Linked DNA regions of Arabidopsis thaliana. The protein of the gene in region 2 interacts with the protein of the main gene of each other region in a pairwise test. Each region holds a gene or a part of one and is shown on either strand. Other genes may lie near its edges. The genes, in order: WIP2, PSS1 and WIP1.

Region 1 (4,962 bases), on a different chromosome or scaffold from region 2:
TAGCATATGTTACATACCCCAAATTTGAGTTTTGAAACACACCAAATTTGAAAGAAAGAATCAAATCTCTCTTCATTACACTAAGAAAAGAGACCAAACTATGGTAGGTCCAAATTTGTAAAATGATTTGGATATAAATCCAAAGATCATCACATTAAGACACCTATGAGTGAGTCTAAGATGAATAATAACTTCTTCTTTTTTTTAAGTATATTTGATCAAATTGATTATTGGTTTGCAAATCTAAAACTCTTCAAGACGTGGGCATTGTTAAGTGTTGTTGGAACAAACCAACATTAAGATGGCTGTTTATAGTCAAATTGTCAAAAGTCTCCACTTGCAGCTAATGACATAAGACCACTTCTATGTGTCATCACAAACAACACACCACACAATATATTCACACAACTATATTGAATTCTTCTTATTTATAAACTCTAAAGAGCTTACAATGAATATATATTAAGACCGACTCAAATTATTTAAAGGTTATGTGCAAATTTTCATTGTACATGTGAATATCTAAACTTTTTTCACTTGTGTGTTTATATATCTTATCTTCTGTATTTCATTATTTCTTATTTACTAAAGAAATTATGGAAAATGATGGCAAAGTTGACAAAGAGGCAACAATTTTATACATACACACTGACGTCATGACAATGCAGCACGCAGAAACACAAAGTAGAAAGCAAAGAAGAGTTGGGTCTATTGGAGCCAAAATGTTACAATATATATAAATACAAAACTTGTATAAATATAGATAAAAACAGATTCCATCAAACAAAACTATCATGTGGGAACAGCAATCTCCGGTTCTGGTAACAGAGAATAATACAGTATAAAGAGCAAGCCTAACTGTAGAAGAAGACATCTAGTGGTCTTAAATGCTCTCTTCTTCAGGCACTCCACTTCTTGAATCTCTGTGATCTCTACACAATGGTTTTGTAAATCTTGAGCTTGATTCTTTAGATTCTCAGCTTTTGTTTCTGCTTTATCAAGCTTTGATAGCCCCAATGTCTTCTCTTCTTCAATCAGTTTGATCCGTCTCTTTAGGTTTCCCACTGATCTTGAGAATATGATATATTCAATCTCTGCCTCCACCTTTTGCTGGAAGATGTCTTCTATCCCGATCTCTGTTCCTCCGTTACACGTCTCTGAAACGTTTATGGTAGATTCGAGTTCACGGATTTGTGTTTCTTTAACCTCGAGAATACGCTTTGCTTCTTCTAGTTTGATCTCCAGATGCTCTACATTGTTCACCAGGTTTAGTATCTCGGAATCTAGAGAAGTTAATTCCATTTCTCCCATCTTTTCAGACCCAAACCGGTAAGAAGAGCTTGCTTCACTAGCTCCTTCGTGTCCTGCGTGTATGCAACTGCTGCTTTCTCCTCCATCATGCAGTGATGTTATAGGTTCTTCTTTCCCAAGCTCTTGGAATTTTTGAAGTTCTGAAAAGGGAAAAAGAACAGGAGTTTAGTCAAACTCGAAACACAATCATGTTAATATTACACGGCATCATAAGGAACCAGTGTTAGAGTCATTCAAGTTTTAGTTGATTAGGACTACTACAATGCAGCAACAATCAAATTCCAAATGAAAATCTGTATTTATGAAATTGATACCTTTTTGGAGGGCTTCTTGCAAAGTCTGGAAACTGTTGACGGCTACTATTAATGGATCCAGATTGTCTGATGAACCATTGCTCTTGATTTGAGACTCTTCAACACAGTCTCCTTGTGAATAGTCTTCTGTTTCTTCTTCTTCTTCTTCCACGTTATCCTTTCTCTTCGAAGTATGTGCGTCATGATCACTATTTTCATCGTCATAATCCATCATTCTTCTTCCGCCTTGTTCTCTGCTACTCAAACTATAGGAAGCACCCTGCATAAACACAAAGTTGGAGCTTCTTGAGTCAGCAGATTCCATGCTGGAATGAGAGTTTTCCTTCTCAATTTTGATCCTTTCTCCTCTAAGTTTATTACTCTTCTCTACACTACTCTTCCTTTGTTGACTACTATCCCCCGAACTAATCACACTCTTCCCACCCGAGACCTTTCCTCTATGTTTGTCCCAAGAATGACTCATTGTACTACTCCGATCCTCACTGTTATCCGAATCAACACCAGCTGCAAAAGCAAGACCATTGCCATAACTCTCCCCACCCATTACAAAACCAACCACACTATTCACCGAGCCAACAGAACCAACACTATCTTGTCTAACTTCAGGTCCTGGCAAATGCATTTGTTTAGCATTCGGATCAACTAATCCTGACAACACCCTCTTCAGAGCTTTACTATTCTCCATACTCACAGAAGTATCATCCTTAACAAGATCTCTCCTTAACCTCCTCTTCCATTTTCTTAAACCAAATCCTTTTGATATAAGAGGAGAAGTCTCAACCGGTGAATTCAACTCTTTATCAAGATCACCAATCAAACCATTATTATCTTCAACAGATTCAAGAACAGAGCTTTCACTCTCCAAATCCATGACGACGCCACAAAAATACTAACTTTTCACATGGGATCAATCTCAAGACTAAACAACCACCATTCCAGTAAGAACCAGAGGCAAATTCAATAAAACCAAAATACGAAAACAAAAATGAAGCAATAGGGTTCTCTAAATTCAACTCAATTCCCAGATTAATCACATTTACGAAAGCCAATGAATCGAAAGTTTCGAGCTTGACGTACCTAATAAAATGGAACGCAAAACCACTCAAAGGTGAATCCTTTACGAAGAGACCGAAACGAAATTAGAAGACGATTTAAACGATTCGCAGAGATCTCTCTCTATATCCGTTGATTGTGGAAAGTTTCGTTGCGAAAAATCGTTTTTTTTTTCCCGGTTACGATCAAAAAACATTTTGATTCGTTTCCTTTTTTTTGTAATAGAGAAATACGAACGTGTGAGCGACATGGTCGGGACACGTGGCGAAACCGCTGGATACTTCAGCAACTACTCGGATATTTTATGACCGTTCGATTCGACGTGATCTTATCTGGTCGGATCTGGAATTCAACGGTGTGTGATATACCGTTAGGACTTTAATATGATCTCGACTATTTTACTAATTTACCCTCGTCTTTCTAACTTCTTCAGTTTTGACGTTTACATCTTTTCTATATACAGTGGTTGCCGTTTTTAGGTATGGAAACAACGAGACTTATCCTTGAGCGTTTGATAAACGCTTCCACATCGTTTGATAACGAGACTTTTCTACATACAGTATCAATCTTGTTTTGTTCATACGTCACACACTCCAAGATTTTGATGGTAAATTTTTTGTTTTTGTGTGTGTGTGTGTGTAATGTGTATGTTTTTAAAGTCCCTTATGATTGTAGATAAATGTGAAAATGTGTGGGGTAAATAAATAAAAAGTCACAAGTGGACTGGTCTTGGACCAATTCCCACTGTGAAATCAGATTTCAAATGTTGTGTCAGTGTACACATACATACATGCACCACCTTGAATTAAAAAAAAAAGATAATTACTCGATTATGAGGAGTTTATCTTACAAATTACAATATACTAAAATGTTATTGATAAGAAAAATTGTCAAATACTACTAGGTTACTACTTATGTTATGTTAGTACTATTGTTAGAAATTTAGTTCATAATCACATAGTGGAAGGAATTTCACTTACTTAGAACCCAAAATATGTTTTACGTAAAATATTCTCTTGACATTTTTCTCCTATTAATTGCAGCAATGATAGTATTATATGATTCAATACTCAATATAGTACAATGTTTGGAGTTTTCTATAGACCACAAAATACAAACAGTAAATGACAAACAACCAAAGTACTAAGAAAATTGAAAATGGTTCCCTTTCTTCAATCCTACAACCTCTTTTAAGCTCAAAGTTCAATGTCTTAAATCTGACTCTTGTCTATTTAACTCTCTTAAATCCAATGTAACCCATGTTATATTTATACTTCTCTAATAACTCGATCTTAAATAAAAACTGGAGTCTTCTTGGTAAACTAAAGAAGAAAAAAAAACTCATTAAAAATTTCCAGAAAATGCAGAGGAGGTTGAGAGAAGAGAGAGAGGAGAGCTAAAAACAAATGACATAAAGGAGAATCCAAGATTATAAATTTAAGTTAATTATAAAATGGTTTTTGATTAAGTGGGTGATCATTATAAAATGACATTGGTACATGTTTAGACATTAACCATCTCCAGGCTGCTTCTCTCTTAACCATTTCTTTAATCACTATTTTAAAAACAAATTAATGTCCATAAGCACTTTCAGATCCAACTCACAACTCCAGATTCTTCTCCCTCTTCATTATCACAATCTTCTGCTCTTCCTCAAAAAGAAACACAGAGAGAAAGATAGACGAGAGAGACAGGCTTGGTAATGAAAAGATATGCAGGGGAAGTGACACGTCTTTTTTTGCCTTGTGTCTGAAAAAGATCAAACAAAAGGGTAAGTCTTTAAGAAATCATCTTTAAAGATTTGACTAATATGTTGCTTTTTCATTGTTGGTCCTAGCTAGAGAGTAAAAAGATTCAATCTTGTTAATGATGATGAACATTAGACCACAAACTCAATGTAAAGCAATGATTTTTCTTCTGACCCGTGACCTCTCCATTGTTGCAGAGACTCTCTGAAACTGGCTTGGTGTTGTTGGTCAAATCTGAAGTAAGAGGAGGAGGAGAAATTAAATAAAGAAAAGAAGAAAACACAAATTGGGTTTCAACAGTGTTGTAGAAGAGGGACCCCACAAAATGGAAGAGTTAGATACATCACATGCAGTTTCTCAGATTTTACCTCAATCTCATTGAACTGCATCAACTGTTGCATTCATGTTCTGACTCATCTCCTCTCAGTCCCACTCACTTCAATATCATCTGTCAGAGAAACACCATTATGAGATTCATTACCAAGTTAGAGAGATAAAGACATAACCTTTTGAAGCTGAGAGGTGAGAGCTTTCAT
Region 2 (5,394 bases):
CTTGAAACTTTAAAAGCCCATTAAAGACTCGAGATTCCCTAGCTTCTTGGAATTCTAAAAGCCCATTCAAGACTCTAGATTCCCTTAAGGGCATCCTATCCTTGTCAGAATATTCCTTAACTTCTGACATCATCCTTTTTTTGGCTTCTTTAAGAAAGTTGGAATAAAATAGGAAGTGATGATGGAAGAGTGATGTTAAGATTAGATAGATAGTCAAAATTGTCGTCGAAGATGTCAAATTACGAATTTGCAAACCTAAGATACCATGTGACATGTTGTTGGGCGGCACGGCAGGTCACACAATCTTAATATTATCCTCAATTTATCATATTTGATTCTTTCTTCTTCTTTTTTTCATTTCCTTCAACAAAACAAATAATCTGTTTGATAGAATGATGATAATACAAAATAATAGACCAGAATAACAAAACTGGAACCAATAATTAAAGACAGAAAAATTGAATGGTGGTAATGGAGTTAATGGCAGTAAAAGCACAATAATGTTGTTAATGTCATGTAAGAGTTGGCAGCACAAAACAATCATCTCAAAAACCAGAAGAAACAATGGCTCAATAACTTCTTCTTCTTTTTTTGAACTGTTGAAAACTTGAATGTGTGAATGGTAACAAAAAATTGACATTCAAACCAACATGTTTTGTCAGATTGAGGGGGCAGAACAAAGATGAAAGAACTTTTGATGCATGAAAGAATTGATGGAATCTTCGTAAATGTTGAATATCACACACTATCCCTAAAGAAAATTGCATTTACATCGTTCCTTCTTCTCCCTATTTACAAAAAAAAACCACAATGGCATTTCACTGTCTCACCTCTATTTCTCTCTCGTCTCTGCTGCAACAATAATGATGCGCTTAACGTCTCTTTTGCGCGAGGATCTTCTGGATCTTCCATGTCCAAGACAGCAAGAAGGCCACAAGTCCAAGTCCCACACTTCCCCATAGTGTCACTACCCACAATGGCATTTCTGTTGGGTACAATCCTGTTCGTATCATAACCATACAACCAAGTTTACACTCTCCACACTATGTAACTGTAACCATAAATAACTAAGGCAGAGCATGTGTAAGGAACCACCTACCACTTCCAAACTTGATGCAGATGAGAAGTTCTACTATGCATATCCCCAGTGACAGCCAACAGAATGCTCCCACCTTTTTCACAGGTTTTCTGTGAACAACCAAAACTACACAAGTTATATACAAAACTCTTTCCAAACTAACTCCAACCAATATCGCAGTGGCTATAGCTTTACCTGTCTTGAAGATATGAATTGTACTCCCGTGTTGTTGGTATCGCTATGAGCCACCACAAGATCAGCCTATAGAGAATCACTGGGTTTCGAGGGGGGATCCACAGGCTAAACTTGAGAAAGAATGTGTTCAGCTCCACTGTCAAGAATATGATGCAAAGAGTGAGTACTTGAATAAAACGCCAAGGTCCCTGCAGCGGATGCCACTCGTCTTTGTCCCAGTGAGCTGGTGTGAACTGCCCCAGTGTCCTTTTCACCTGAAAAAATATACAAAATTCTCATTGGATGTACAACGGCTAGGACCATGTGTATGCACTCTCAAGGTTGAACAAACCTACTTTGCCAATAATGTTAGGCTGGCGGCTAATGCCAACCCACTCATATGTTTTTCCATCAAAATATCGAACTGTATACATTCCTGCCCAGATACCTACCATGATTAAAACAAGAAAAGCTGTTATCCATAACATGTTTAAAAGCACTACATATAGAATAGCAAGGTAGCTTAAGAATCATACCAAACCAGTTGCATATCAAGATATCAAGAACAATACTGTCCCACCAGCACTCGTTGAAATTTGGTAACATATGCCGAAAAGTAACCTGGAGAACATAAATATAACTTTTCGGTGACACAGGCGAAGCGATATTTTTGTATATATCAAATTGGAACCTGTAATATAAGAAAACGAAGACAAAGACCAACCTCCAATAACTCAAAACCAATTGAAAGCACCCAAAGAAGCGGCTGGTTCCGGATCAGAATTGCTTTCCCCCACCAACCAAAGATGTGAGCCAAGAAAAACTCATCAAATACTGTGTCCTGATAAATTTTAATCAAAGCATAAGCCTTTAGGTGATATGAAGGTTGGTTAAGGTAAAGGGGAGTTGTTGAGAAGATACCCTACATAAAGATTCTTAAACCTGTTTGTTGGGTGATCAGGCACATATATACGGCAATCAGCACCGTATGATTTCTCAGGAAGTTCTGCAACATGAGCAAACTCAATAAGATGGTCAATCATTGATGTGGTAGCTCCTCGAATAAACAGCATTCCTCTCCGAAACTCTTACCTATTCCAAGGTCAGGGTGGAGAAACTTCATGAACTGCCGTGCATCATCACGTCTCTGGGAGCATGAATAATGTAACTATTAGAGTTTGCTCACTTAAAACAAGAATCCATATATAAATCACAGGCATAGGCAAGTAAGAAGGATCTAGGGAGGAAAAAAAAGTGAACCTGAAAGAGCAAAAAAGTAAGTGCAACTAAGTAAATGACGGCCATTCCATGAACTAAGCGCCAGATTGCAGGATGGGGCCTGATTAGAACCCTGCATAAAGCAAATTACTTGATTAAAGACACATCACAAGTATCACCAACAACCACAATCTACATTATAAAAGAGAAAGCAAATTAATAAAACAGCTGAGATGGTAAACAAACGTTGAAGGGGCCTGGAGCAAAGAGTAAGCAAGAAAGACAGCGATCATAGCCCACACTCCCCTAGAAAAGGAACATAAACATAGTAGACTAGTGTTAATTGATGGAATCAAATGAAAAAAGAAAAAAAAACATGATGTGGGCAGAAGGAAAAAGAGAACCTTTTGACAGAAGTGACAAGATCATCAGATGTAGTGCTGTCAGGATCAAGAGCTCCACTAGCCCAACTAAGTAAAATTCAAAACCAAATTGAGGATTACGAGAAATGGGCAGAGAGGTAAAAGGGAAGAAGCAGGAAGAAATGATGACTCACATGAGAAAACAAGCGCCAATAAGGAGAAGAGAGATAGTGCGAGGCTTGTAAGCCCATGCAGTCCATGGATCAAGATCAGTCTCAACATCACCACCACCACCATTCATTCTCCCCAAATGTTGTTCCTTTCTTCTTTCTTTCCTGTACCCATTGGGTTCCATGGCCAAAACCAGCTTCTGAAGTATTGCTGATTAAAAACAAAAAGAGAAACTTTAGCTGGGAGATGAGATAAAGAGGGGCCTGAGGAGCATCCTCGAGAGAAATTAATGAATAAAAACTGTAAGAGAAGAGAGACGAGAAAAGGCAGACAATGGAGTGTATACAGAGAGAAAAGGTACAAGGTACAAGCAGAGAGAGACAGAGAAAGGTTCTGTCTTTGCAGAGGTAAAAAAGCAGACGCAATATCAGAAGAAGATTAAACTTAAAAATAAGCCAAAGTAAATGAAAATGGTTAGCAATAAAAAGAAAAGAGAGGAGATTTGAGATACCTGAAGAAGAACCCTAGAGATTGATTGGAATGGGAGAGAATCAGAGGAAGAAGAAGAAGAAGTAGGAATCCAAGTAGTAGAAAGCTCGATGATGTTGATGAATAAAAAGAAGAGGAACGGTCAAAGTAGAGAGAGAGAGAGAGAGAGAGAGAGAGAGAGAGAGAGAGGGATAGATACGGCTTCTGCTGCTGCTTCTATTCACGATCTGAAAACGACTCTGCTTTCTTTCCCCCACGATTCCCTTTTTTTCCAGAACTACCCTTTGCTTCTTCTCCTTTTTATAGGCTATCAAATGGTGACATCAAAATATGCAATATTATGTGGTTTGGTCTCACTATCATCATCTATCCATATTATGTCAAAATTTAGGCCCTGATTTTTAATTTAGTTTTTGAGTTTAGATTTTAGTTTCTGAATTTTAGATTTTAGTTTTAGATTTTTGTTATTATATTTTTTGTTCAAAAAATCTCCAAAAAATGGTTTTTGGTTTTTGAGAAAAATAACGTTGATTGAACAAAAACTAGATTTCCTAAATTTTACAAAAACTAAAAAACTAAAATCATGAATGGAAAATTACAATAAAATAGTTTTACTAAATTGTAGGGAAACCAAAATTTTAAAATCTTGATTGGTATGAAAATAAGTTTTTAAAAAACAAAAACCAAAAACTCTTACAAAATCTACAAAACAGGCCTTAAGAATTTTTATTTTATTTTATGATGCGGTTTGGTATAAATGTGGTTTTGGTACATACAGTAATTGAAATTTGATGTGGATTCGTTTGTTAATTACTTGCCAACTTTATTTGAACCGCGTATTAACCATTCAAATTAGACCTGTTCAAATGTAATTTACATATATATAAAAAAATTCCAAAATTGAAAATGTTTGGGGAAAAAGAAATGTATGCAGGATGACTAATACAAATTTTAATTTGTAAAAGGAAATGTTTTGGTCACTCATAGTGTTAGAAAACATTTAGTCAAAATTTGATGGTTCCATACGCTAACCAGTGTTACCTTTCGTATTTATCATAAATCTAGTGTTTTCAGATAAAGGATTAAGTATATATGTAATGTTATTGCCTAATTTAACATAAACAGAAATACTATTCACATATTCTATTTGACAAAATTAATTCATGTTTCACCAGATTCGTCTTTAAATAATTTCTCTGATTAAAGCGGTTGTAATATGCGTTACGAACAAAAAAACGGTAGTAATATATACTCCATTTAAAAAGGCTAACATTTATGGGGTTGGAATGATACTCAATAACTCATATGATTGTTGTTTAATTGCAGCCAAATAAAGCACATCAAATGCCAAATTTATTAATATTCTCATTTAAGTAATTGATTTGACAGATATTCCCAAAAGTACAAAGGAGAAGCAGAGAATAACATCCCTAATTAGGAGTATCAAACAATTAATTTTATTTTATTCTTTTCATTGAATGAAAAAAGTGTCATATAATATGAAATTAAAGAGAGGCCTAACAAGTGAAGTGATGATATAGACTCTTCTATGTGCTTGAAATCGTCACAATAAATCTACTAGCATGCTTATTATAAATGTACAGTTGTAGTTGTAGAGAATGGACCCTAACTATAATAAGCATACGGTCAGGTCAGCTAGCTCTTGATTAAAATTCACATAACTGCGAATACAATTAAAAAGCACTAACGAAATAGTATTATAAAGTTTGAAACTGGAATACAAACAAAGATAAACAGCTCATTCCTACAAGAAGACCATGCAGATGGAGACACCACTTGTCACTTGTCACAACATTACTTACCCCTCCTCCTTAACCTTTTCATTAGTAATAATAACTAAATAATAAGCAATGGGATTCTGAAACCAACAGTGAAAAGTGG
Region 3 (4,569 bases), on a different chromosome or scaffold from region 2:
TCAGAACTTTTTCATCTTTGGTTTTAATTTAAAATCAAATTGTATCATTAGTGTTCTTATATAATATTTGTATTATTGGATCAGTGTATCAAGTTTGTGTATAGATAAGTATATATAAGTGGTGTGACACTAACTCTTGTTTTTTGTTTGGTTGGAAACAGAATGTGAAGTGAACTTTGAGTATATGGACTACAAGGTCTTGACAAAGAGGTGCAAAGGTCCAGCGTTTCCAGCCAAAGAATGTTGCTCTGCTTTTAAAGAATTTGCATGTCCTTACGTGAGTCAGATCAACGACATGAATAGTGATTGTGCACAGACAATGTTCAGCTACATGAATATTTATGGAAACTACCCTACTGGCCTTTTCGCTAACGAGTGCAGAGAAAGGAAAGATGGGCTTGTTTGCCCTTTACCACCTCTCTATTCACATAACCTAAACGCCTCAACTGCTGATTCGACTCCTCGTTTTATCTCGCTGTTGATCTCTGCTGCAACCGCTGTTTTTGCTTTGTTAGTGTTGACTTGATCAATCAAAGGAAATTGAAAGAGCCAAAGAGTGATTACATTTTGATACCATATTAGCTAACAAACTAGATAGAATTATCAAATTGTTCTGTTACTGACCAAGTGTCCAAGTGTAAAGAATACTTGACCTCCAAAATAAACAAAAGAAGAAGCGAGACTTACTTGATTAATTTTATTACCAGAGGCAAAACTTATAGCCGAATTGTTAACAAGAAAAGCCAAAAGCCAAAACAAAACTCAGTTTACATCAAAAATCAAAAGTCATGTGGGTACAACAGTATCTGGCTCCGGCAACAATTGAGACAGGAGCAACAAAACTACTGTTGACAGCAATACTAACTGTATAAGAACGTATGAAGTGATCTTACATGCTCTCTTCTTGATGGTCCCGGTGATTTCTATGCAATCGTTTTGCAGGTCTTGAGCTCTGTTTGTAAAATTTGCAGCCTTCGTTTGTACTCTTCCTAGCTTATTCAGCGTCTCATGGGTTTGCTCTTCTGCCAATGACTCTTGTTCATCAATTAACTTCATCTGACTGTTTAAGTTATCGATAGATCTTGAATATATCAGATATTCAATCTCGGCCTCAATCTTCTGCCGGAAGATGTCTTCAACCACAATCTCTGTTCCTCCCCACGAGTGTTTGCTTTGGTTCGTGGTGGATTCAAGGTCACGGATGTGTGATTCTTTCACCTCAAGCATGGACCTTGTTTCTTCTAGCATGTTCTCCAGTTGTTCAACATTGTTTACCAGGGTTACAATCTCGGGGTGAGGTGAATTTGCTTCGCTGACTTGTTCATGATGCTGTGGCATTGGTTCATTCCCGATCTCCTGGAATTGCTGAACCTCTGCAAATGAAATTTCATAAAGAGTCACATTAAACATCATAATCATTGTTCATGTGATGTTATTAGTTGATTCCAACATGATAATGCAGGCTCATAACAAGAAATAGTTATGTAACAGCAGTAAAAATAATGCAAGTTTAGATACAATCCGCAGCAAAAAAATAATCAGAATGGCTACCTTTTTCAAGAGCATCTTGCAAGGCCAAGAAACCGTTGATGGCCTCTGTTAATGGATCCATTTCATCTGAGTAACGATTGTCCGTGTTTATCGACTCTCCGCCTTCTCCTCCCGCATCATCTTTTCTCATTGACGTTTCCCCATTTTCACCATTGTAGTCCATCATTCTTCCACTCTGCTTTCTTGAGTCAGATTCCAAGCTGGAATAAGAGTTTTCCTTCTCGAAATCGACACTTTCTCCTCTATGTTTCTTACTATTCTCTACACGAATGTTTCCTCCCTGACCTGAACTAATCATTGGCTTCTCATACCTAATAACCTTGGGAGCTCTTGCAACCGTGGAAGACTTACTACTCCGATCATCATCTATCTCTAAATCCATACCAGCTGAAAAACCAACCCCTGCCACAAACCTAGAATCGTAACCACTACTCCCAAGTATATCAAAACCATCACCGCTACTTTTCAACATATTAACAGACCCAACAGATCCCTGACTCTCTTGTTCAACTTCCGGTGACTGAAACTGCATCTGTTTACCATGTGAATGAGCAACACCTGACAACCCTCTCTTCAGAGCTTTACTATTCTCCATATTCGCAGACGTGTCCTTAACAAGATCTCTCCTAATCCTCCTCCATTTTCTCAAGCCTTGTCCTTTCAAAACCGGAGAATAAGCACCACCACCATCACCTGGTGAATCAAAACTCATAGGTTTACCGAGTTCAACAGAATTAGAAGTCGAAAGCAGTTTCACACTCTCATCAGAGCAAGACCCGTTATCCAAACTCCTACCATCATCACAAACGTTGCTGGCACTTTGTTGAATCAAAACATTATCATCAACAGACTCAAGTGCAGAGCTTTCACTCTCCAAATCCATTGACTCCACAAAAAAATCTATCCCCCACCAAATTCACATCGGTTTCAGAAGTAACAGGAGCTCAGATCAATAACCCAAAACCCGAAATGAGGATCCCAAATTCGATCATACACAATCAAAAAGTCAACTCAACAAGCTATACAAATTCATTGGTTCCTTGACGGTTAAATAGAAATATAAAGGTCTAAAATTTCCTACCATGCCACCATCTATCGGATCAAAGAAGAGAAGAAATGATTCCAAAAATGAAAATCCAGCTCAATGGAAGAACACAGATTTCGAATTGAATCGCAAAGTTTTGGTCTTTTTGGAGAAAGGAAGGGTATACAGCAGAGAGATGGAAAAAGGAGGGTGAAAAGTGAAAACCCTAATCCAATGATCGGATTCGCAGATCTATAATTCTCTCGTTCAATGTGGAAAGTTTCTTTGTGGGAAAAAGTTTATTCTTTTTTCCCTCATGATCAATTTTGTTCCTTTTTGAAAATTACGTGTGGGTGGTTGGAATATAACACGTGTCGGAATCGCCTGACCTCTCAGCATCACCTTCTTCATTTTTGACCGTGAGATTGGACACGACATATATATACCGTTAATAATTATCATTTTGGTTATTACAATTTCAGAAAATTGTTGAACTGACCTAAAACATGGGGACAGTGTGAGAATAAACAGAGAATTACAAAGGGTACATACAACCATAAAACACCACAAGTCACATTCTTACATCATCTGAGAGGATTGAGATTAGCACAAACGAAATTGGGCTACTACACACTCATTACACAGACTGAAGAAACATAACAAAAAAAAAGAGAATCAGAAAGGCTTCTCGTAGCCTCGAGCTGGAGGTTGGTCCCAAGCTTGCAAGAATGCTGCACAATTGCAAAGACATAATGAATCTCAGCTCTTTAAGAAGCTAAAATAGAAAAGAGAAAGAATTTGATATTGGTCTTACTCAATGGTATTTCTCCGAGTGACATGAAGATCGAATCATCGTCTGTATTATTTGGTACTTGGTCATTTCCAATAGCTCCCTGAGACGTTTTCAGGATCTGTTAGCAACAACAAACATTCTATGTGACATAAAACTTGACAAGTAGAGTAGGTACCTCTCGGTCTTGAAGGCTAACTGTGTTGTTATTCTGTGGGACACTACTGGTTCCCTGGTTTATTGGAGTAAAGGAATCAAGATACTCTACCATCATGAGTCTTTCATTGTAGTCTGGGACGTCATCGATGCCCATATATGGAGCAGCTTCTTGCCTGTTAGATATGAAAACCCATTAGCCAAAATGTAATAGGTGTGTGTATATATAAGTGTTAAGAGTAGGACTTGGCCGTACTTTCTTCCTGGATCATTGCTGGACTTTACCACTTCTTGATCATCATCCAAATTAATCACTTCTATCTCTTTACCATTGCTCATCCGAGTACTCGTACCAAACTCGAGAGACTTACTAGAACTGCTGATTGAGAGATCAAAATCAACAGCTTGACGAGATTCCTTTATCCCATCATTCACATCCGACGCTCCCCCTAGATTTAGGTCACACATCTTAAACGAAGCAGGAAACAGCTGATGTTCTTCAGCATACCCTGGACCTGTTCTGCCAGTGTGTGTCCTATTGTATGTAGAGTTATTAACCAGACTTTCATGGCTGACCCTTTTTCCAGCAGCACCGTCAATCAGTCTTTTGTTGAACGAGCTTGTCTTTCCTTCTTCTTCCGGATCGCATTGGTTTCCGCTTGTTTTAAACATGTTGAAGCGTTCATTAGCTTCAGAAACTGCCACCCAATCTCTCTGTCTTTTTGATCCCTCCTCCAAGTCACTGCCTTCACCAGGCCTTTTCTCACCTACTTTCCCCACCGAATGTGATCTGTGCAGATTAGGCAATTCTAATCCTGATTCTTTCTCACTGTTATCCCTGAGAATGCTACTGGGAAAAGAATTAGACCTATGACATTTACTGTTCTCAATATATTGAACAAGAGCAAAATCTTCAACTTGGTCATTTTCATCACCAGTACTATCGGCCTTTCCAGATGATTGGCCTCGAGTCTCACATCGATTTTCGGTTTGATCTTCTTCTTCAAGTCCAGAATTATGAGAGGTATCCTTGATATTATGACTCAAA

The links.
Region 1: the proteins of PSS1 (region 2) and WIP2 interact in a two-hybrid assay, tested with the Arabidopsis thaliana proteins (one study listed by BioGRID).
Region 3: the proteins of PSS1 (region 2) and WIP1 interact in a two-hybrid assay, tested with the Arabidopsis thaliana proteins (one study listed by BioGRID).

What each region holds. Positions count from the first base shown.
Region 1 is NC_003076.8:22,749,868-22,754,829, forward strand, and holds WIP2 (WPP domain interacting protein 2), read right to left. Parts: upstream 2,951-4,962; 5' UTR 2,497-2,950; coding exon 1,626-2,496; intron 1,452-1,625; coding exon 793-1,451; 3' UTR 595-792; downstream 1-594.
Region 2 is NC_003070.9:5,197,387-5,202,780, reverse strand, and holds PSS1 (phosphatidyl serine synthase family protein), read right to left. Parts: upstream 3,764-5,394; 5' UTR 3,515-3,763; intron 3,509-3,514; exon of another isoform or gene 3,214-3,508; 5' UTR 3,188-3,213; coding exon 3,027-3,187; intron 2,941-3,026; coding exon 2,875-2,940; intron 2,777-2,874; coding exon 2,717-2,776; intron 2,604-2,716; coding exon 2,513-2,603; intron 2,400-2,512; coding exon 2,345-2,399; intron 2,259-2,344; coding exon 2,179-2,258; intron 2,094-2,178; coding exon 1,977-2,093; intron 1,874-1,976; coding exon 1,789-1,873; intron 1,701-1,788; coding exon 1,609-1,700; intron 1,528-1,608; coding exon 1,274-1,527; intron 1,189-1,273; coding exon 1,096-1,188; intron 1,001-1,095; coding exon 793-1,000; 3' UTR 606-792; downstream 1-605. Other genes in the region: AT1G15120 (Ubiquinol-cytochrome C reductase hinge protein), read right to left, coding at 9-133. UniProt on the Arabidopsis thaliana protein: Catalyzes a base-exchange reaction in which the polar head group of phosphatidylethanolamine (PE) or phosphatidylcholine (PC) is replaced by L-serine. Is essential for phosphatidylserine (PS) biosynthesis and PE seems to be the most plausible substrate.
Region 3 is NC_003075.7:13,363,602-13,368,170, reverse strand, and holds WIP1 (WPP domain interacting protein 1), read right to left. Parts: upstream 2,889-4,569; 5' UTR 2,435-2,888; coding exon 1,552-2,434; intron 1,374-1,551; coding exon 787-1,373; 3' UTR 640-786; downstream 1-639. Other genes in the region: LRE (lorelei), read left to right, coding at 162-526; AT4G26450 (uncharacterized protein), read right to left, coding at 3,251-3,306, 3,390-3,468, 3,544-3,697, 3,778-4,569. UniProt on the Arabidopsis thaliana protein: Mediates and enhances the nuclear envelope docking of RANGAP proteins mediated by WIT1 and WIT2 in the undifferentiated cells of root tips.